3 linked regions of the Xenopus tropicalis genome follow. The protein of the gene in region 1 interacts with the protein of each later gene in a biochemical or structural test. Links are inferred from orthologs where the notes say so. Each region holds a gene or a part of one and is shown on either strand. Other genes may lie near its edges. The genes, in order: adrb2, magi3 and grk6.

Region 1 (7,933 bases):
AGGAGATTGCATCAACTTTCAAGGCAATGGCACATGGTGGGCAATTTCTCCACCTGCGCAATTTACTGCCCAGTCAGGAGGCCCCACAGGGGCCCCGCCGTGCCCCCTTAATCACCCGCAGGGTCCCCTGCCTGGTGTCCCGGCGGCACAATCTGACTCTGGTAGGCACTTATTCTCAACAATATTTATAAATACTTAACACAAGCAGTGAAAACATTTCTGAATGTGATGATCAAATATAAAAACTAATAAAATGAAACTGTGCCCCTTTAATTATTTATCCAGTGCCATTTCTGCCACAAGGCAAAGTGGCCTTGACCAAGGCAGCTATTTCTCAGGGGTAGCAAAAAGCTGCCCATTATTTCCAGTTTTCTAAATGGAATTATAGATCTTTTAAAATGGAAAACATATTTGTGCATTTGTGCATTGGGTTTGCCAGAACCTATGGTTGGCTGCGTTGCCTGTGCTATTTTTTTTAACTTTGTGATTGAGGAAGCAATTTAAAATTTCTCTCTTACTTCCTGCTCTCTATTAAGTTTGCAGAATAAAGTATTTAAAAGAGGAAGTGGGAAGGGTAAAGTAAAAAATAACTCCCCAGTACAATAATGTTTCGGTATTATTTACACTCAATATTACAGTATCATATGCAACCTTTTTGTCACACTTCAGCACTATGTATTGTACACCCTACATTTTTAATATGAAAGCCTTACCGTTTTATTGTATGGTTCTTAACCCGTTCCCCACCAGTTACCAACCTTGTTATTGCAGAAGTAAAAGATACTGTAGATCCCACAGGTACCTTTCTCCATGGCTATAAAGCCTCTTCTAGCTAATGCTATAAGATCAATCGTATCACTCTACTGCAGTGGTTCTCAACCTTCCTAATGCCTCAACCCTTTAATACAGTTCCTCATGTTGTGGAGACCCCCAACCATAGAGGAGCGGTGTCTTGGTTCCTAAGTCCATCGGAAATATGTGTTTTCCGATGGTCTTAGGCGACTCCTGTGAAAGGGTCGTTCAACCCCCAAAGGGGTCCCGACCCACAGGTTAAGAACCGCTGCTCTACTGGCAGGGAATGTTGGGAAATGTAGTTTATTTTAGAAATCAGTAATTTTTAATTCCTGACCTCTTCATTTAAAATGTTGTGCTCAGGACCATCTAATGCTTTCACTATGGACATTTTACTGGTTTGATATATGTTAGTTCCTTATGAATGGGTATGATATACAGTACTGTACTTGTCACAAAGGTCAAGGAGTTACCAGCCCCTAAAAAGCATAGGAATTTTTATTTATTATTTTAACTCAGTTGCCCAACTTGCCCAGTAGAAAGTTGGCAATGATGCTGTAAAATACTATAACGCCTCACTAGTTACACCTAAAGCTGTACTTGTATCCTGCTGTTTTCCATCAAAGGCTGAATTGATAATCCCACAGGATGTTATAGGATTCTGGGATTTGTAATAAAGATAGGCTACAAGCCTCCTAATCTCACAGACTGAAGATCCATGTGTATATTTACAAACCCAGGATAAAATTCTTAATTGGCATACAAATCCACTAATTTGGGGTTTCTTAACCCTTTTCTCAGAGACCCTGGATAAGTCTGGGAGTTGGCTTTCATGTATTTTAATTACTACAGGTTCGGAATATAAAAAAAAAAACACTTTATATGAATTGCCACTGGCTATTGCAGGAAGAAATGCCATCTTGTCAATAGCAGTAATGTAACCAGATGCAAACTTTTACACCTCTCCGCCTTTTACACATACTCTTCCACCGTTCTCACTGCTTGGTATGCCTCCTTGACTTATTAAAGCTGGGCTGAACTTGCTGCCCCCTAAATAGTTCTGCCACTGGTTAAAGAGGATCACATGGACTAAATGGCATAGAGACCACATTATATAAAATGATAATGCAAGACAGAAGGCTATGATATTTTATTTATACATTAAAATGGTATATATCTTATGCACAATGGTAAAAAGCAACAGAGAAACAACATGGTACAAGACGCAGAGACATTACAGTAAGGAGGCTGAAATGGAGCCAAAAAACCCTGCCATTGCAATAAATTAATTAAATGTGTACTTACAACAAGAGTTACTCACTTTCCCCCTGCTATTCCCATAGCATTGTACTGTACACATAAGTTACAGCTGCCTGCTGGCTGATTCTCATCGGTTGTTATCGGCAGAGCTTTGGGGGATTCAAAAAAGGGTGACTTCCAGGGTCCATCTTTTGTCCACCACCAAGCCGGACTGGAGGCAGGAAGTGCTGCTTATAGTAGGGGGAGTAAAGCAAGATGAGCCTTTTTTTTGCTATTAAACTCCCAGCACCCAATGACCGTTGAATACGGGGGGGAATTCTTTAGTGTTCTGGGACCTGTAGTTCAACAACAGCTGAAAGGCCTGCCGAGTGAGTTTTTTGGGCCACATCACCACAAAAGCTACTACGGCAATGGGGTGATCTAAGTAGCCCCTTGCCCCCCTGGTACCACTAATATGTGCCAAAAGCAAAACTCTCACTTAATAATTACCTAGGTGGCAAGTTATTTCAGTACACTCACATACAATATAGCAGCTCTATTTTCTCTGTACTTTTTGCAAGTTTACTCTGCACTGAAGAAGAATTTGAACATATCTTTTATGACAGCTGTAGATACAATTACTATACATAGTCCGAAGGTTTATTGCCGACTTCTTTTCTTCCCATACATACAGTATATGCCCATGGGCTCTGCTCTTGGCTGCAGTGCAACAATTAGAAGAAAGCAGAGGTGCAACAATTAGCAGTATGGGGCCACCATAGTCTTCACCCTCCCTGCTCTGATTATTGCTTTGCCCTTGGGAATGGGTTAGCTGGTTGCAGCATGCCTTCATAGCTGCAACTCTGTACATAAATTACAGTTCTGACTGTTTTTAGTGTTTAAATGATTGACGTTGTTTCCTATTCTGTTCACTGCCCTTACCCATTAGCGCATAGTGCCACAATAGCCTCTGCAATGCAGAATAGGTGTTGCACAGATATCAGATACACTGGGCAAAAGAATGACAAGAAATAAATCATAAATAAAATACAAGTAGTAGCTGGTTATGTGACGCTTAAGGGTGAAGACACACAGAGCTACTAGTATATATACTAAAGTAGACAATGCTGATCATTTACTGATAATTGGCTGTACCTGTGTTTTAGCAGAGGCAATTCTCAGTATTGTCCATGGGAGGGTATTTTCTGGCGTTTAGTAGCTGTGAAAAAGAAGCTGCGACTAGTAGCTCTGTGTGTCTTCACCCTAAAGCAGGGGGATATGTAACACAAGCTATCCAACTAATCAATGGTGGGAATTGTACCTAAACATCAAACTTTGGACATAGCTAAACATCTGCCAATCGCAGAAAGAGTCCAGTAATGTCCAGTCAGCCCCAGTAGCTGTAGAATTCGAACTCTCGGGGGATACCAGGGGCTGTACTTGTACATCAGCAACTGATTAGATGCACTGCCGTGCAACTTCGAGCCCACCCTGCTTAAAGCCTGTAAGTGGCACCGTTTGATCCGCCGTGCAGTATAGCGCAGTATAGCGCAGCTAACTATTAGCGCAGGCAACTTCCGAAAGGAAAAGAGAAAGGCAGCGACCAGCCGGTGTTACGCGGTATCCCGCTCTTGCTCTCCGGGGATTGGCTGGAGCCCGTTGTGACGTAAGGGCGGGTGTTAATAAAAGAAAGCAGGCGAGCCCACAGCCCAGAATCAGAAGAGACTCTCAGGAGAGAGAGGTAGTTCCATGTCTAACGCCCCACAAACAGGACGGGCACAAATGAACGACACCGGGCAACTCCGCCTCCCCCATGGCTAAATGCGCTGGATATACGCGGGGCAGGAGTACTTTCAGCGCTGCGTGTCACACCCAACCGACTCCTAACAAGTGGAAGTAAAGTCAAAGGGACTGCAAAGCTATGGAACAGCGGGTCACCGCCAGCCCCTACCCTAACAGCACCCTCGAACAGCTGGTCTCCAACGTCTCCAACACTAGCAACGCCAGCGATAAGCCCGGGGATGCGTGGATGGTGGGCATGGGCATAATCATGTCTTGCATCGTGTTGGTGATTGTGCTCGGCAACGTGTTGGTGATCACTGCCATAGCCAAGTTCCAGAGGCTGCAGACGGTCACCAACTACTTCATCACGTCTTTAGCCTGTGCGGACCTGCTGATGGGGCTGATAGTGGTGCCCTTCGGAGCGAGTTCCATCATCCTGGACACTTGGGTTTTCAATAACTTCTGGTGCGAGTTCTGGACATCAGTGGATATCCTTTGCGTCACTGCCAGCATAGAGACCCTTTGCGTCATTGCAGTGGATAGGTACTTCGCCATTACCTCTCCATTCAGGTATCAGAGCCTCCTGACCAAGTGCAAAGCCAGGATTGTCATCCTGCTGGTGTGGGTGGTGTCCACACTTACCTCTTTCCTCCCCATCTACATGCACTGGTATAGGATAGAGGAGGAGAGTGCCTTGCATTGCTATGATGACCCCTCCTGTTGTTTTTTCTTCACCAACCCTGCTTATGCCATCTCCTCTTCCATCATCTCCTTCTACTTACCTCTGGTGGTCATGATTTTTGTCTACGCAAGGGTCTTCCAGGAGGCCAAAAAACAACTAAAGAAAATAGACAAAAGCGAGGGAAGGTTCCACAACCAGAATAACCAACAGGACACCAATGGTAAGCAAGGAAATAAAAGGACCTCAAAGTTTTGGTTGAAGGAGCACAAGGCACTGAAGACTTTGGGGATAATAATGGGCACTTTTACTTTGTGTTGGCTCCCCTTTTTTATAGTCAACATTGTCCAGGTGATGCACAAAGACTTTATCCCTGTCAAAGTTTACAACTTCTTGAACTGGGTGGGATATGTCAACTCTGCCTTTAACCCGTTAATCTACTGCAGGAGCCCAGATTTCAGATACACTTTTCAGGAGCTGCTGTGCTTAAGGAAACCGGGCTCCAAAGCCTATGCCAATGGGTACCCCCAGAGCAATGGGAACAGTGCATACAACGAAGACACAGAACCTTGTCAGTATTCTAAAGACAGGACTTGTGAAGTTTTATTTAAAGAGGAGAAAACTCCCAATCCCTCCCTTTTGAACTGTGAAGGTACTCTTCTAGATTTTAGCTTGGAACCACTGGGCAAGAATCATAACACGCATGATTGCTTATTATAGGATTGTCGATTTTTTTTTAATATTTGAACTATTACAACAAACTGGATTATTGCAATACAAGGGTCAACCAGATATCCGAATGTATAATACAAAGGAAAATGTTTTTATATGTATATTATATATGTATATTTTGCAGAAGGGCAGTGCCCATGTCTTGCAGAATGTATAAATTTATTATGAGAAAATGTACATTTCTGTCTATTTTCAGTTCCTCTTAAATTAAGGTAAGAGATCTTTTGTTATAATGTAATGGCTTTTATATTTTTATGTTGCTGCCCTGTGTACTTTACTGAAGAAAAATCTACCTCAAACCCTTAAAAAAAAATTGAATTCTAAGTTCAAGAATTCTGAAACTTAAAAAAAAAAAATCTTGCTTTTTCCCCCCTTTTCTACCCCTTAATAATACAAAAAACAGCTGCTGTTGGCGGAAGGGACAGGGTTAATTCTACTTTCCTTGAGATAGCTCTCCTGAGTAATGATGGGGTTAATGTGCTGAGCTTAATATTTTGAACTTTTGAAATTGCAAAAGTTGGGTTGTGAGAGATAGGAAAACGTATATTCTGTATAAGACTGATGAAAACTGTGTGTTGCAACCAGGAGAGACCCTTGGGGGTCATTCAGCATAGGTGCAAAAAGGCACAATTGCAGTAACCTATAGCAACCAGCTTTGGTTGGTCGTGTTTTGCAAGCTGCTGTGAAACCATGTAAAATAATATCAGAATAGTTGCTATAGTTACCACCATTGTGTACTTTTGCACCTGTAAATAAATTCTTTTTTTTCATGGTTTCTCAGGGAGGAAATGCAGTAAAAAAAAAAAAAAAAGTCGCAGAGCTAACTCAATACATTTCCAGCCACCCTTTTAGGTTTGTGCCAATCTTTGCATTCCCCTTTAACCCCTCTGTTGCAGGTTGGAAAGTGGCACTTTTTATAAGCAATTTGACATTTGCAGTGACTGTCACGTATACTGGAGCCTCTAACCAAAAGTGTATTTTAAGGATAGAAGGGTTAAAGGTCTAACTTAGTTCATCTAATTTTAGCAGTGAAGTCCAAAGTTGAGTGGAGGACCCATCCCCTTCTTGATGGCAAACTAATCTGTTTTTTCGGTGAGCCCAGCCTCCTAGATCCCTATTTGCGAGATAAATGAGTCCTTGTCTCCTAGATGGGGCAGAACAGATGTTCCTACTGCTGTTCTGTAGTGTCTGATCTCTGGCTGAAACCAAGTCCTGTCAGGGTAATTAATCAGTTATCTCTGGGTTATGAGCAAAATATGGGGCTTTCCAGATGTGACTGCACTACAGTGCTCAGCAGTTGCCCATGACAGTGGTAGGATTCTGAGAGTTGTAGTTCAGCAGCACTTAAAGACAAGCTTGCGGGTTGTTTCCTCTTGTCTCTTCAATGATTCTACTCAGTATAGATTTAATGGGGTATGTTTAGGCATAAACTAGGAAACCACAGACGAAGGAAGTAAAGCAGAGGCTCATTCATAAATAAGAATATAAAAACAAAATAGTTGATAGGCTACAGACACAGGACATTACAAATTATTATGGTCTATCACTTTAATACGCCCTGCTGGACAGGCTGAGTTCTCCCTATCGCACAAGGCATGTCTGTTCCATACATTTCCTCTGCGCAGCTCACAGGGTCACTAGCAGATCAGCTCTTTTGCACATTTCCAAGCCTTACAGTATTGTATGTTGCTCTTATTAAAGGTCATTGTGCTATTTATTAATCTGGCTTGTGTTTGTGTGTTCCCCCACCCCCTCTCTTGTTTTTTAGAGATTTGCAGATAAGAATTGCCTAAAACATTAGTGTGTTTACCGTTCAGCGATCACAAAATACTGTTGACCTTTATGCATTTAAGGTGATTCTCAAAGGAGATCAATATATGTTCAGCAGTAGGGTTACCATATGTCAGAGTGCATGCTACTTGACATGTTATCAATAGGGGAACGCACGGCATTCCTTAAGCGCTAGGTTGGTTTGGTCGCTGAGTAGGAAATACTAGTGACTTAGGAAAAGATTTACTCTCAGCAGCCTCAGATTCCTATAGCGGTCACAGGGCTCCTACGGAAGCTGCTGCATAGTGCAATTTATTTTTAGTGTTATGGAGTAGTCTAATGAGTGCATATTAGGCTGGCTGTTTAAAGAAAGTAGTAAAAGAAAATAACCCATTCCCTGGTGGTTGGATCGGAGTATCCTTGTGCTGTCAAAGCCTGACATGAACCAGAACAGGTGCAAGTCATACTGACTCAAGCCGGGAGCACAGGGAGCGTCAGCCCCTTCAGTGCAATGCACAGTTAAAATTGCCTGAATTTTCTTATTTAGTGGATTATTGTGGTGCACACTTCTGTGTGCCAGCAGAAAGGTTGCATAGGTGAAAATGGCCCGAAGTGTGTTCATTTTGTTACTCCAGGGATTTTACTTGTAGCCCTTATGTGGTTGTTGAACTAGAACCAATGGTCCCTTTCATCTCTTGGGGGTTGTAGGAAGTTGCAGTTTAAATAGAGCTATAGGATTGCTGGCAGGGCATTCGTAAGCTTATAATGAAATTAATGCATGACAGAGCTGGGGAATAACATGCACATTCAGTGTAAAACGTAAAAAGGAGGTCCCTTGGGTGCCAGAACTTAGACCTGTGTTACCTCTTGATTGCTGACACTGGGGGGTATGAAGCCATTTGCAGTAGGTAGTAGATAAATACTTAGACTTGATATTTC
Region 2 (7,833 bases), on another chromosome or scaffold:
TGTCAGTGATATGTGATATGATAGGGACTTTAAATTCACAGTCCCTGCCACAGGTACTGATGTGAATAATGTTGAATCTCTGTAAAGCACCGCTGTATATTTTTGCACTTTATAAATAATGATTATCTTTCCCTACAATATTAAAAAAAAAAAAAAAAAGTAAATTACTGTAACAGTAAATTATTAAAGGGAAACGAAAGGTAAAGTCACTTGGGGGTGCCAAAATGTTAGGCACCCCCAAGTGACTTTAACCGCTTACCTCGTACCCCGGGCTGGTGCCCCTGTTGGGAGAAAACAGCACCAGCCCGGGGCACCTGGAGCGCAGCGCTTCCGTGTTCTGGCTTCCTCTTCCTGAATGCCAGCCGTGGGCGCATGCGCAGTAGAGTGAAAAGCCGACTTTAATGTTTAAGTTCGGCTTTTCTCTCTACTGCGCATGCGCGCGCAGCGAAACAAGAGGAAGGAAGCGCCGGCAGCTACCCCGGGCTGGTGCTGTTCCCTCCTCACAGGGGCACCAGCCCGGGGTAAAAGGTAGGTGGTCAAAGTCACTTGGGGGTGCCTAACATTTTGGCACCCCCAAGTGACTTTGACTTTCTTTTCCCTTTAAAGACATGAAAACATGAAAATATCATAGTCCTTTATATGGTTTTGCTGCTCTCTCCTCTTACCTCCATCCTCACAGTCTTCTGGGGCTTTAGCTTTCTTACACAGTCGAGGATCTAGCCACGTGGTTGTTTTTGTATTGTGACTAAAAGAAATAAAAAGCAACTGATTTTATTAGTGAATTAAATCAAGAAATAAAACAACTGACTGTTGTGCAATAGAGAAAAAAGGAAACAATTTCTACAAACAAACACAAATACAAAGATTATTAGATATCTTTTTAAGTTCAAACCAATTTTTGGTTTCATAAAGCCTTGCTATATATATTATTGGCTATAGCAAACAAAATAACTATATATGAGATTCAAATATTTAAGATACAGTAGTTAGCAATATTGATTCTACCCAGGGCACCATCTACAAGAAGTCTAAAAGTTCTTCCAATTACATGAATATTGAACACTAATAGTTAAAATAGCTTTGTGCATAACGTACTTAGCAAGTGAAATATCTGGCAAACCTTTTGTATGTTATAAATTAGAATGTCCTATTCTTAGCAGCTATTTAATTGGTCTTAAATGGGAAACACTTACCCTAACAACCAAAATCTATTGCTCTGTGAGGTTAAAATTTTATTTTTATTGCTACTTTTTATTCATTATTTTTCTGTTTAGGCCCTCTCCTATTGATCTTACAGTAAGTCATTAAAACCACTGCATGACCACAGCAACCAGGTGAATTCCATACTGGACATCTGCTGACTAAAAAGCTAAATAATTAAAAAAAAACCCACAAAAAATGCAAATTGTTTCAGAAATGTAATGTCTACATTAACCTAAAATATAATTTAAAGGTGTGCAACCTATTTAAAAATGCAAGCTCTTATTTACTACTAATTTCAAGAATTCTAGAATGGTTACATATTCTTTTCTAGAAAAAAATTGAGAAGTGCATGCACATAATGTGTTACACTGCAAACAACACATGTAACATAAGGTGCAAAGTTTGCTACAGTTCCAATGACAACCAATCAGCAAGTAACATTTACTGGTCACCTGTTTAAAAGCAAATATCTTATTAGATGCTATGGGTTACTACACCTTTGCGGCTTTTGTTACATGGGGGGCGGTTATGTTTTAGATAAACTTCCCAATTGCTCCCTCAAATACAATACTTGGACAACTGTGTTTATGGAAGATCCTTTTACACTCCCTAGTAATTATAATTATTTAACTAATACCTTTGGGCTGTGCTTCTATTTGATAAAAACTGCACTGACCGGTACAACTAAAGGAGTGCCACTGTGGCGATTCTACATTAGCAGTCCAGGCCAGTTCTCAGCGAACAAGAGCATCAGCCCGAAATCTCTGGTTTAATCATCATTAAAGAATAATTTGCTTACTCTATAAAATAGATCATTCCTGCTTCAGTGTAAGCCATTTCCCAGTTCTTTGGAAGGGGCTCCAGGTTTTCATCCCGAGTTAGGTAGTTCCTGAAATCCATAGAGCTATTAGTTTGGTTGTAGCTCGGAACAGTCTTTCCCCATTCTGATGGTTCCTGTCTGTCTCTATGGTCTGGTAAAATGAAAATAACAGAAACATAAACAGTGACTGGCATGAAAAAAACAAACCCCAGTTAAAGGTTTAATTTAATAAAAGAAAAAACTATTTTTTTAATATATTTTTTCTATTAAAAACAAAAATATGAAACCGCATCTAGTTTCTCTACAGCAAGCCTGAAACACAAAATCCCCACATATCACAAGCACATTCTTTTAGGGGCTCATGATTACAGATATTTTTGTGTCTGCTACAGAAACACTACAATAGGTTATATAAATAAGCTGCTGTGTAGCCATGTGGCTAGCCAGTCAAGTTAAAATGGGGATAAATAGCACAGGTTACATAGCAAATAGCAGTTTTACCAGTAAAAGACAGCAGTATGTTTAAATTACTTTAAACAATATAATTTTTGATGGGATTGAAATCTCTATATTTTGCAATCTGCCAGAAAAAAACAGCTTTTTAGCATGCTCACATTTTAGATATCTGCATATGTTGTGTTGATCACTTTGTATTCTGCACTGTATTCAGCTCAGTAAATAACTAAAACAGGTGTGGTAGAACCAAAGAACACCTAGCCCTATTAAAGGAGACATACATGATAAGCAGGGGAAAAATCTTGTAGGCTATAATGAATAATATATGGTGCTGGTTTCACTCTGGGCTAAAAATAATCATTATCTTTAAAAATGGCACCTTTATTACTTCAAATGAGGCATGGGTGTGCCCTAGCAGTCCCTGCCTGAAGCACAGTAGAAGAGGGATAGCCCAATCACAGCCCTGCAGTCACACAAACAAAGACAGGCTTTAAGGTGGCCATACACGAGCAGATCCGCTCGCTTGGCGATGTCGCCAAGCGAGCGGATCTTCCCCCGATATCCCCACCTACGGGCGGGCGATATCGGGGACCATTTAGGTAAAAAAAATAATAATCCGATCGTTTGGCCCTGGGGCCAAACGATCGGATTATGTGGGCGGCAATGGGGCAGTCAGATTTTCTAACCTGGCCGATCGAGATCTGGCCATTCTCAGGCCAGATATCGGTCGGCCAGGCCGCTCTGCTCTCCCCATACACGGGCCGATTAGCTGCCGAATCGGTCCAAGGGACCGATATCGGCAGCTATAGTCGGCCCGTGTATGGCCACCTTTAGTTCCCTATCTGGTCTGCCTAGCTGCTGATTGGCTCCTATCCTACGGTGCAGTGTGCTGAGTGCCTCCAGCTATTGTACACAGTCTGGGAAAGGAGGGAGCAGGGAGTTTAGGGGTTTTAAAGAATCTTCATTAAATTAGCCGGAAACATATTTTTTAAAGGAACAGTAACACCAAAAAATTAAAGTGTTTTAAAGTAATTATTAAACAATGTACTGCTCTGGTAAAAGTTGTGTCTTTCCTTCAGAAATACTGCTGTAGTTTATATAAATACGCTGCTGTGTAGCCACAGGGGCAGCCATTCAAGCTGAAAAAAAGGCGCAGGTTACATGGCAGATAACAGATAAGTTCTGTAACGTACAATGGTGTTTTACCCGTTATCTGCTAAGTAGCCTGCAGGCATACCTTCAGTTGTCTCAATAGTGCCCTTAAGTCTCCCCATATTTCACCTGTTCAGAAGATCTGATGCCAAACAGGAAGAAAAAACGCTGAGCTGTGTAAAGCAAGTTCACATAATGCCTCACTCCTGCACAGACATGCAGACCAAACTGAACATGCTCAGTTAGTAAGACTGTGAGTCAGCTTCCTGCTGATTGGCTCAGATCCACATTCCTAAGGGGGGGAGGAGTGAGTTCTTAGCATTCTTGAGGGAGGGGGGAGCAGGAAAGAGCAGAGAACAGAAAGCTGCATGTCTCTGAAAAAAGATTAGTTGTGTCTGTAATTCCTGTGCCAGAGAAGTCAGTGCAGCGTTTCTGTGAGTGCATATGGCTGTATTTACATAGACCTTTCTGATAAAGCTTACTTTGTATTTACCTTTCTTTCTCATTTATATTTAGAGAAGTATAATGCACTGGCACATTCTGTTTTTTAAACAATATATCCCCTTTAAACAAACAAAAAGAGTGTGTCTTCTCAAGTTTCAAGTATCATCCTCATACTTTTCATTGGATTAAGAAGTTATTGTGCGGTGAGGTATGCATATGATATCACTGCAGACCTAATCCATTCTGTGCCCAAGTTATATTCTCAAAAAGGTTCTACTTTTAATAATTCATGCTGTCATAACACCAAACACAATTTTAGGCTGACCTGTGCTTCCACTACTGCCATTTACTGCCTCTCTTTCCTCTTCATCTTCTTCTTCTGGGAGAGAAGAGTCTGTGCGCTGCATTTTGCTGACTGATGTAGTCCTTTTTCTCTGGGTTTCTGTGTCAAATTCACCATCAAATAAGACCTGATCCACAGGGTCTGCCTGGAAAGGATTTGGTTCTGCAGGTGGTTTAGGGGTTCCATAGAAATTACCTGTACATTTAAAATAACTTTTTATCGGCCATGATAAAGAAGCATGTATAAAGATGTAAAAATCTACTCAGCTTTCAAGTTAAAGGGCATGTAAAGGCAAAAGAGCAACATTGCTGCTTCTATACCTAAAAAAAAGCATATTTGCAATGTACTTTAATTGGAAATCTTGTACCGATCCTTTAAAAAAACGGCCAGCCAGAAATGAATGGTGCTGCTCCGCATTTGGAGGGCAGGGTAGCACAGCAGGGTTGTTTCATTTGTTTATTTATCATTGAGGCTAATCTCAGTAAGAAACAACCCTGCTCTTGCTTCCCTGCCCTTCGAAATGCGGAGCAGCACTGTTCGTTTCTGATCGGCCAGCCATGAAAGGATTCCTGTGCACGGCTTCAGGAGGGAGAGGAGATGAACCCAACATATAATAAATAAAAAACTAATATTTTACTCTATACAGATTTTAATATTTGTTGACATTACACAGAAAAAAATGTATTAAAACAATAAAAAGTAAAGATCCATTTATGACTAATTAAAATAAAATAATAAATGAGGAATATTAAGTAAGCCAACTCTCTGATCAAGATATCAAAATAGCATTGGCTGTATACACACCATCATATGTTCCACTTTCCAGCAACACTCCGCTGTCCTCTAAAGCCTTAAACTGTTCAACGGAAATAAAATTATAATCTACTCCAGGAACTTCACCATCTCGCGGGGACCTTGTGGTACCTAAACAGGAATAAGCAAGAGATAATTTAAATTTCATTCATTCCAAGTCAGTTAATTAAAAAACAGATGGGGGGGTGGGGTTTGTGTAATGTTTTACCCTGTGATGGGTGCTTGTTATCATGCTGAAATTCTGGGTGGGGTGAGGGGATCAGCATTGACAAAGATAGATGTCCAATTAGTGCACTTTGCATGTCGTTTATAAATGAGCCCTATTGTTAGCATTTTTATGCATGGCAACAAACACCTAAAAGTAAGAAAGCTCATTAAACCTGTATATTTCTATTAATACAATTTGTACTAAATTTAAACCCCAAAATATGAATAGCCCCCTACAAATGATACAAACAATACACACCAGGAAAGTATCTGTTTTTGTGAATCAATGATGTAACACATGGAGACTTTATATTTGGAATAAAGATATTATGGAGAATTCAAAAGTAAACTAACAAAATAAAGAACTCCCTTCTAGAGCACAGCATACCAATTGCTGCAAACATGTCAGTAAAAATAAAATGGTTTTACATCCTTGTGCTAATTTCAGAGCTCAATGGAAGAGAATGTTTATTAATTTTGCCCCAAATGACATTGCCCTGTGATACACTAAAGCATGATTGTGAGCCTGACATGGCTCCCTAAATACCAATATTAGAACTAAAAAAAATGCATTTGTTGGATCAAGAATACAATTTTAAATGGTAGAGTGAATTAAACAGTGTAATTTACAAATAAAAAGTGCACCATAAAAATCATGACAGAATCCCTTTAAGCTTTTTAATACATTAATTAAATATGATATATTGATTGATCAGAAGCATTTTGACACTATTTTTTGGTTTAAAGATTTTTAAAGTAGGGACGACACCTCCAGGATTTTTATCTAATAATGTAGTAACACTAAAAAAACACACAGTATTCTTCATGAGTAATTCATGAGCATGGGTAATTTTGCCCCATATGGCATTGTCCTGTGATTGACTAAAGCATGAGGGTGAGCCAGGTTATATTCAGAGGAGATTGTTATCTTTTTTTAAATTGTATTTTGGACTTTGGAAAATGTAATAATAAACGTACTGTTGTTTTTATTTAAAGACAAGGATAGGTTAATTCACAGGTGTTTATAACCAGTTAGGCAGCCCTCTGGCTCAGAGTTGCGCAAGGAGTCCATGGGAAATAAAGTTAAGGTTGCAGCAAGGTTTCCGTACAGCTTAAGGGCAACTTCACCTCTATATTATGATGTATTATATTATAACTCATCCTATTTTTAGCAACTTCCTAAAGTCTTAATTTAACGTTTTTTAATTATTTACCTCCTGCTGGTATCTAAACTGCATTTAAATTTTATCAGGGTCACTAATCACAACAAAATATCACCTATTTATAATATAACTGTATACCTTATAACCAAAGGTAATTTTTAACAACCTTAAAAAGAAATTCAGCATATATACAGATTACTGTTCCAGCCAAGGGGTGCAGCAGCCCTATAAAAGTAATTCACACCTTCATAGTCGACCATAAGCAAAAGGCACTGCAAGGGCACAGACCTTCACTGCTAAAGGACAGTAGTGGCCTTGTACAGAATATCATATCAACAATTTCTAGCTACTGTGTAAGTCTTCAGACTGTAGTATATGAATAAGCCTACATAACCTGTAATACTTACTAAATAATATATAAATATCTGAATACTTACAGGGTATTGTTCTCAAATATAAGTTGTCTCTAATCACTTGTTGGAGCTTGTGGTCAATGGATCCCTTCTGAAACTGCAAACTTAGGTAATGTCGTAGATCTTTATTGATGACTTTACCTGCAACCACAGAAAAACATAATGACTATATATCCAAATGCAAAGTTTCATAGGTTTGTTTTAACAATTTAAAAAAAGCAGAAAAGTGGACAGGGGATGGAAAGACTGTGCAAAAGAGGAAACTTAGTGAGATCCCCAGAGTAAAGAAATGGTTGCAGTGCTGAAGGAACCTTGACACTTTCAGGTGAAGGAATTGGGGCTTGTAGTTCTGTTTGTATGCATCCCTATTAAATTAGCTACACCTGTAAACATCATAGCATATAACTGTACACCTTGGGTTAAAAGGGGAAAAGGGGTTATTATTAATAACAGCATTACAAATTAACCCATGGCTCAGTAGTCTATAAACCATCTTATAGACTGGTGAGGGGTTACATTCTGCAACTGATTCCACTTTTGATTAATTGCTGCTTTAAAAGAGCGATAAATGATACAAACAAATAGTAGTAACTTTTTCCCAATATAGGAGAAAATGGCCCTGGTACATCCAAAAGAAATGAATATCTACATGAAAAAAATGGAGCACTCATGGGATTTACAAATAAGTGAAAAAAAAAAATTTAAAATGTTATTATCAACAGTTTGGTCCTGAGAGGACCTTTTTCAAGACATCCCTCTGTGTTATTAGCAGGACTGAAACGTTGTCAATCTAATAGAATTTTCTTCACTGAGTAGTAA
Region 3 (7,833 bases), about 4.8 Mb from region 1:
AATTTCTCCCATATAATATTTAGATTTTCTTTTATCCATTTTTTTTAAAGCAATGCCAAAGTGTTAAAAATTAATAGGTTCTATGTTCTACCACTCAGTAGAACACGCACTAAAAGCAGCAGAGGAAACTCTCCACTGATTTGATAACAGCATTGCAGTAAAGGCTCCAGGCATCAACGAAAGAAGCCCAGTCACAGCCTCTTAGCATCAATCTTGCTTCATATCACCTGCACAGACTCATTTGTTTTCAAATGGTTTACTGGGGTGTCAGGGGGTTTGTGAATCATTGTTAAAAGTGGTATTCCTGTCTATTACAGTCTTGCACCAACCCAAGCTCAACATATATGAAGAATCCCTGTCCATAGCAAGAATGCCCTGTCTGTCCATCCACTTTGAACACAGCAGATCAATAAAAAGCATTAAGGACCTGTGTTTGAAGTGTGTAAGATTTTTGGGCAATCCACCTCAATGCAGGTGTTAACTGATCCAAACCTCCAATATGGGCCTGTACCCAAGAGAGCAAGCATAAACACTGAATGCATTGGACAGACTAAAATCAAACAACTTCTGCATTGCCATCTGATGAGAAGCACAAAAATCCACCACACAATTAAGGCAAATGCAAACGCCTCTGTGTGTAAGAGTCCTTAAAAAAACAATTTTTTTTTCCTCTATTCCCAGCCAAATTGATTAAAAAGGTCCCACTGACATACAATATACCTGTACATTTTAATGAGGTATTTCTATTGAACAAACTGAATTTGGCTTTGCTCCCATGCCCTTCTTATAGTCTTTCCAGTTCATACTGTTCTTTTTAAATGACCAATGGAAAGATTCTACATACACTGAAAAGGCTTTTTGTGTAACAAACCAAAATCTGATATTATGCATGGGCAGAAAAGCAGGGAAAGAACAGAAAAACATTTTACCTGACACATCTGAGATGTGCAACTCTGCAGTTAAAATCCCCAGAACTTAAGGGTTCCTCTCACAATGATGCTCCACCCTGGAGGCAGCTGAGCATACACAAAGATTAGCTGTTAAGATGGCAAATTTGCAAAGACTGAGGCAAAGCACTGCACTGCTGGGAGGATGTAAGGTACCAGTGGGATATTGGGCTGGGCAGTGAGGATACTGACAGGATGCGGGGAAATGAGCAGCCCTCATTAGAACAGATGCACTTATTGCTGTGTAAGGGCAGCTTTGGTAGATGACATGAGATGTTTGGCGGTATTAAAATGGGACTACAGAAAATAGATCTCTGCAAACCTAGAGTACCAGTTTTACTGGAAATTTGGGGTTGCACAAAACTAATGTAGCAAAACACTAGGCTAGACATTAAACTATTTTCCCAGGATTTCCCTTCTTGAGGTTGACATTCATAGCTACATTAAAACACCAGAAAAATGTATATGAATTACTTTGTTTTTGCCCCCTTCTCACTGGTGCCTCAATGTATTGGGCAGTGCTGCATACAGAGGGGTAGCAAGGGAAGCCCTGTGCAAAGCCAGAGGCTACAAGGTGCTGGGAAGAGATGTAATTACAGGTTCCCTTTGCAGCAACGTACTCTTTAACTTGCACCTAATTTATTAATCACACTCAAGGTGCAAAGCTTAGTCTGAACTAACCTTTGCCATTGGCATAAGTGCTCCATGTATCTCTATAGTAATTTTGTACTTGCACCAGTAGCAGTGGTTAATAACCCCTACAAAGAGTGCAATTAAATTGTGCAATAGTACTTTACAAAGCATGTTCAGGATAAGCTGTCTTTTTTTCTTGCTGAGAAGCTATATGATCATTGTTTTACCATAGAAAACAGCAAATAATGAATCTAAAATTCAAGAGAGATTAAAATATATGAGCGGCTTAGTTATTAGTTTTACTTAAACCAAGATACATTGGCTTTAATGGTATACATTCCTTTCATAACTACCCCTTTTTATAATGCCATTTATTACTTATACAGTCTTTAAAAGTGTTCTCCTACTTTATGTGACATTAGAGAAGTGGCACACAGGGCCCAGCAGAAAACAGTGGAGGACCTGCCCCATCTGCATCCCTCCTAAAACTATAGATAAAAAAGTGCACTATTGATGTACAAAGAACAGTGATGGGTGGTCCTGGGAGCCAAAATAGGTCATTTGGCACAAGTCAGAAAATTCCAACAAGTCTTTACAGGTCAACAGTTTGATCTGATCATTGGACTTAAGGCCAAATAATCAGATCTTTTTGATTGTAAGATCTTTTGAAAAAGGGCCCACTTGTTCCCTGTATACTATACTCTATTTATTGCACATCTCTATAGGATATGTTAGTTCTTTATAAATACATGTAAATAATAATCAGCCTTAACTGGAATTCTTTTAGACGAAAGCCCTTTATTATTACCTGTCTGCTAAAGAAACGCTGAAGTAGTCCCTTTTTGGGTTGTGGGGATGGTAGCCCCCTCCAATCCAGGTCAGGTGGTATGCTTCCATCTGTGGGCAGTGCGCTTAGCTCCCAAAAACAGTCTGTATCCACCATCTAAACAAGGCATATATAGATATAGATTCACTGTACACTGACTGAGCAATGATTCCATCCTCCCATGCATGTCTCTTACACACCTCATTCTGCCAGGGAATGCAGATATTGCCTGTGGCAAATTTTCGGTAGAAGTCATTGTCTGTCTGCTCCAGATCAACGCCCTTTACTGTAGAGAACTGCTCTATATCCAAGACATCCTTACAGTAAATAGCTTGAGGCTGAAAATAGATTTCAGATGTTATTACAAATATGACTTTCAGTTGTGCATTAAATATTAACAGTTGACTGTATAATTATTAATGAATTTGTCTATAGCCCCCTGACCCCTTAATTGCCATGAAATAAGCTCTAGGCAAACAATATACTTACTACCCTATAGTATTTGCACGGAGAGATGTGGTATGTAACTTACATCAGGTTTGAAGGGGGGCTCCAGTATCCCAGCTTCAAGACGCTTAAAGTTTATCTGCTTAAAGAGGGGATGCTCCTTCACCTCCTGAGCGCCTCTTCCATGGCACCCTAGGCGCTCACTGGGGTCTTTCAAAAGTAACTGTAGTAAGAAGCAAAATATTCAACTCAGAGTTAAAGAAAAGCAAGCAAAGCTGATTCCCAACTACAGGTATAATAGCTTTTAGCAGGAACTACATTACCTCAGAAATGCCAATTTCTTGTGTCCGACTAAAATGAATGAATTCTACACATCTGACTGATTTGCTCTTTCTCTGTATGGGTTTAGGTATACAGGCAGTTTTCTGAAAATACCCATGCTGCCTCCTATTCACTTCAATGGAAACATTTCTTTACAGTACCCAAAAAATGCCCTGGTGAGAATTTTCCATTACTGGTGCTGTGAGCCATTGACCTAATAATAAAAGGTACTTTGGAGTTTATAACTAGCACCAATTCCTGCTTGTAGCAAAGCAATGCTTCTGGGGTGGCTACAATTTTTTGTAAACCTTAAAATGGTAGTAAATAACCCCAGACGAATCAATGTAAACTTGCTCAAAAAGCTCTTCTACTCTGCTATCATGAATTTGCAGGAACACCCCTACTTTTCTGTCTGGCCAACCACCCCATGGTTAAATTACTGATTTCTCTGCCCAGTGCTCTCTCTCACAAACTTGTTGGATTAAACCATCTGACAGGAGGAACAGAAAGAGCAGCAAGAGAGCCAGGAGACGTTTCCTCCATCAGTAACTAAATGGGGGGTAAGATTCCTATGGCAAATTTGAATTAAGATGTCTCAAAAAAAGTAAAGAATCCCCATTTATGTTTGGTACAAGTAGATATTCCAAAGCATTCAAATGTAATAACTAAATCTTTCTACTCCATAGTAACAAAATGGAGTTAGAGCTTTTTAAAAAGTTTCAAAAAATAGAATTAAATTTTGAGTTGTGGAAATTATGGGAACAAACATTTAGCAAAGATTGACTGTTTGCTAGTTGAGGGTACAAAGACATATTTCCCCATCTGAAATTCTTTAGGATCTTTCACATTCTCAATATATTCTAAACCTGAATTTATTACTGCATCCAATCACAGTGCAGTGCATCTTGAATGTTCCTTTCAGGTACAGGTAGCTGCTGTTTGTATGTAGCCTTGGACTTTGCAGAATTCAACAATTGAAAAACCCCAGGGTTGCTGGCTGGTCACTTTCCAGCTGTCACACAGGGAAGACACATGATTGGTTTTCCAGCTGCCGTGGTGCGTCCCCCATTTATAACTCTTGTTAGTTTTGACAGATTTAAAAGTGTGGTGCCACTTACAGAATTCTGTGCTCTCCTATGGAGACTCGCAGCCAAACTCAAAAAAATCCCATTCTGACCGCAAAATCATTGTGTTGTTTAGAAAATCACGTATTGCTTATTAAATCATATCTACCTATGCTCTCATCAAGAGGTATCCAATACATTATAAACACTTTTTTTTAATTTTTAGATGGTTAAATACTTCTTATAGGTATGTTGTTTTATGTGTGGGCAGAGGTAAATTTGCAATATTGCTTAGAAATGTACTCAGAATGCTCCGTGTTGGTCTCATCTGACCACACTGCAACGGGGTCACTCTCTCTTTGCTTGCTGACTAACTCTGACACGGTTCTTTCTGAGCAATGGCTTCTCCTGTGCCACCCTAATTTACAGGCCACTGTACAAAATTTGGGATATGGTTGACCCATACATATAGAAAAGTGGCAGCATCATGCTGTGGGGGACATCAGCAGCAGCCAGAACTGGGCATCTTAAAACACAAGGAAAAATGCATAATGCAAAAAACAGGTAAAATACTGCAAAAGAAGCAGTTTTATAGCTGACTGAAACAAAGTCTGGGGAGGCAGCTCCTATTCAGCAGGACAATTATATGAAACACAAGTTGCTTCAAACATTGGAGTCATCCAACTAACTTGGGGCAAATCACTCTGGAAGTATAGGCCAATATCCCTCCTGAACTGTATGAAACCTGCTATGCACTTAACCCAATAGGCCTGTGGGTGTAATTGTAGCCAAAGGTAGATCTGCCAAGTATGGACTTTTTGTTTGATGAACTTTTGTATTTTGCACCTTCAAAGTGTCAAGTATTTTGAGTGAATGGAAAGAAATTCTAATAAAATCAATTTTAATTCTAGGTTACAAGACAAGAAAAGAATACTGCAAAGGCACGGTATTTGCCTGACAACCATTAGAGGAAATCTAACAAAATTCCAGCCATACAAACGTTAAAAGAGAGCACAGAAATTCTACGGAAGATATTTTGTCTCATGCCAAACAGGAAATTATAGACTGGCTGTTTTCTCCTGTCTAAACTTCTATTCATTTGCTGGCAGCACTGAGCTTACAATACTGGGTGATTTTCTCTACTTACTGCCATTGTGTATCAAAGATAGAACACATCCATGCCAACAAAAACTTGCAGATAAGAAGAAAACAGCAATTACTGATGCAAAGTATTAAGGAACCAGGTACCTCTCCATCAAACCGCCATGAAATACACCAAAGAGCTCAAAACCGTCCCTTGATTATGATCAGTTTGCATTTTCTTTTAACTTTACACATACGGCCCTGTAGTTAGTGTAGTGGGTTAAAACCCAAGGAAAAGTGAATCACGTTAGTTGCCCTGTAGATCATGCACTGCTTACTCAGAAATTCTCTTGGCGTGCTAAAAATGGTTTTACACAATTATAACTGTTACAACGTATATAAAAATGAAGCAGTTTAAAGCCATAGCTACAAATGCGCAACTGGACTGCATTCATTCACACGGATGAGACTACATGGTGGCTGCTTTGCCTGTGATTGTCACTCTTCCTTCTTTACTGAAAACCACCGGAAACCTCAATGCTGCCAATAACGGAGATGGATAATGCACCGTGATGCTTAATATAAGGAGTGGGTGCATATAGACATACACAGAAACAAGAGAAACAACATGCTACATGCTGGGAAACAGCAGCAACTGTGAAGAAACCTTGTAATGTTACTGATCCAAAATGTTGGGCAGCTGTAGACGTAGGGGCTGTTGGATATCATCAAACGATAAAGAGAAAATGACATTACTTCTGCCATAGAAGCTGAATCTACAGTGGAGATATAAGAACTCTTAAAGAGCACTTATAATAAAATTGCTTTCCCCGCCAGAGGTGCCGGCTCTCCGCTTGGGGAAACAATCGTTTTTAAGAAATAATACAGCCCCCGCCAGCACTTGGCCACCTGCCCCGGGTGGGAGTTCCCGGTGCAAGAGGCCATCTTACCATCTGGCTCATTATATGCATTTGTGTGACATAGGAGTGGTGGATTAGCCCGCATCTGTGGTTGGGGAAGTAATTTGAGGGTGATCGGTGCCTTTTAAATGTTGAGGAGCAGTGGTGGCTTTTACCTGGTACAGAATCCAAACACATAAAAGGTGCATTACACACACACATTACATTTTTCTAAACAGACTCATTTTTGGAAGAGTAGTTTTTTTTTTACGTTAGCTCTAAGGAACGCACTCACCATTTTGCATAAAGATTGGGCATCAGGTGAAAACTTTGCAGAATACTCTTCTTGCCCTTCCTTTACCAGCCTCTCAACCTCTTCCCGTTTTATCTTTCTTTTTCTTTGCTGGAAAGGGGATTGGCCCTCAATCATCTCATATAGCAGACACCCAAGTGCCCACCAATCTGGGCTGAAGGTGTATCTCTCATTTCTCACCACCTCTGGAGCTGTATAAGGAAAAGAAATAGGTCTCAGTGTTCACACTGCTTGGTTATTATTATTGTGGCTCGTGTTAAGGCACACTCACCCATATATCCAACAGTCCCTACTCTTCCCTTAATAGTTTGATCTTCTGGAATATGTACTGCAAGTCCAAGATCTGAGATTCTTATATGTCCTGTTTAAGACATTGAGAACATTTTAATATCAGTTGAAGTGACAGAATGGACCAAGTAGCATGAAAATGGTGTAACAGTGTCACACCACAGGCACATATATTAAAGTGAACCATACATCACATCACTTAATGGAACAAACACATTTGTCTTTTGCTTTAGAGACAGTAACAGGAAAGGCCACCAAGAAAGAACAGCTACATTATTAGAAAGTTCTTCTCTCTCTCTCACCACTAATAGGATAGTTATGAGCATGTTAGGTCTTTTACTGAGTGTTACAACTCACTGTGACAAATGCACTACTCTGCCCTGCTAAAAGGACCACTCAATAAATCTAATGATTAGCAAGTGTCATATTAACAAGAAATGTATTCAGACGTATATCTAAAAGTTTGCAAAAATAATTATTTTACAATAATACAAGCAGTTATGTGAGGGGGAAATAGGAGTTAATCTAAACTGTCAGTCTGTAAAACCCCCTGAAGAATGAACAATTCCTTATCTGTAACCCTGAAACATTGGTTGCAGCAAGGAGAAGGGAGAAACTCTTTTATAAAGATCTCTAATCAAACTCTTCTATGAGGTGGTAAGCACATAAAATGGATTTGATTCACCATTGGTCCAAGTGAAAGTGCACTGAGAAGACTACTGTCCAGACAAATGTCTAAAAGCATTGGTACGCTCTTTGATAGGCTATTGTTACTCAAGATGCTTTCCAGGCTACTGCCATTTAAGTTAAAGGGTGGTAGGGGTGCAAGATTTTTAATATTTTGTTCCCCTACTCTCAGACCTACGCCCATTTGTACCACTGCTTTTAGGGGATAAGGAAGGTTGTGGTCAGTAAAAATGGGGGCTGGTAAGCAAAAGGAAATAAGTTACAGATTCACTTCTTACCACTTCCAGCAGGCAAATAAAAAATAAAGGAAAAGTGTTAAAAAATA

What was found.
Region 2: the proteins of adrb2 (region 1) and magi3 form a complex in vitro, tested with the Homo sapiens proteins (2 studies listed by IntAct, with this or other methods). The link is inferred for Xenopus tropicalis from reciprocal best matches to the Homo sapiens genes ADRB2 and MAGI3.
Region 3: the proteins of adrb2 (region 1) and grk6 form a complex in vitro, tested with the Homo sapiens proteins (2 studies listed by BioGRID, with this or other methods). The link is inferred for Xenopus tropicalis from reciprocal best matches to the Homo sapiens genes ADRB2 and GRK6.

What each region holds. Positions count from the first base shown.
Region 1 is NC_030679.2:41,026,115-41,034,047, reverse strand, and holds adrb2 (beta-2 adrenergic receptor), read left to right. Parts: upstream 1-3,742; 5' UTR 3,743-3,952; coding exon 3,953-5,212; 3' UTR 5,213-6,943; downstream 6,944-7,933. UniProt on the Homo sapiens protein: Beta-adrenergic receptors mediate the catecholamine-induced activation of adenylate cyclase through the action of G proteins. The beta-2-adrenergic receptor binds epinephrine with an approximately 30-fold greater affinity than it does norepinephrine.
Region 2 is NC_030678.2:62,334,486-62,342,318, reverse strand, and holds part of magi3 (membrane-associated guanylate kinase, WW and PDZ domain-containing protein 3), read right to left. Parts: intron 7,156-7,833; coding exon 7,039-7,155; intron 5,343-7,038; coding exon 5,223-5,342; intron 4,614-5,222; coding exon 4,401-4,613; intron 2,175-4,400; coding exon 2,003-2,174; intron 746-2,002; coding exon 666-745; intron 1-665.
Region 3 is NC_030679.2:45,790,478-45,798,310, reverse strand, and holds part of grk6 (G protein-coupled receptor kinase 6), read right to left. Parts: intron 6,895-7,833; coding exon 6,805-6,894; intron 6,725-6,804; coding exon 6,516-6,724; intron 3,077-6,515; coding exon 2,939-3,076; intron 2,745-2,938; coding exon 2,607-2,744; intron 2,524-2,606; coding exon 2,389-2,523; intron 1-2,388.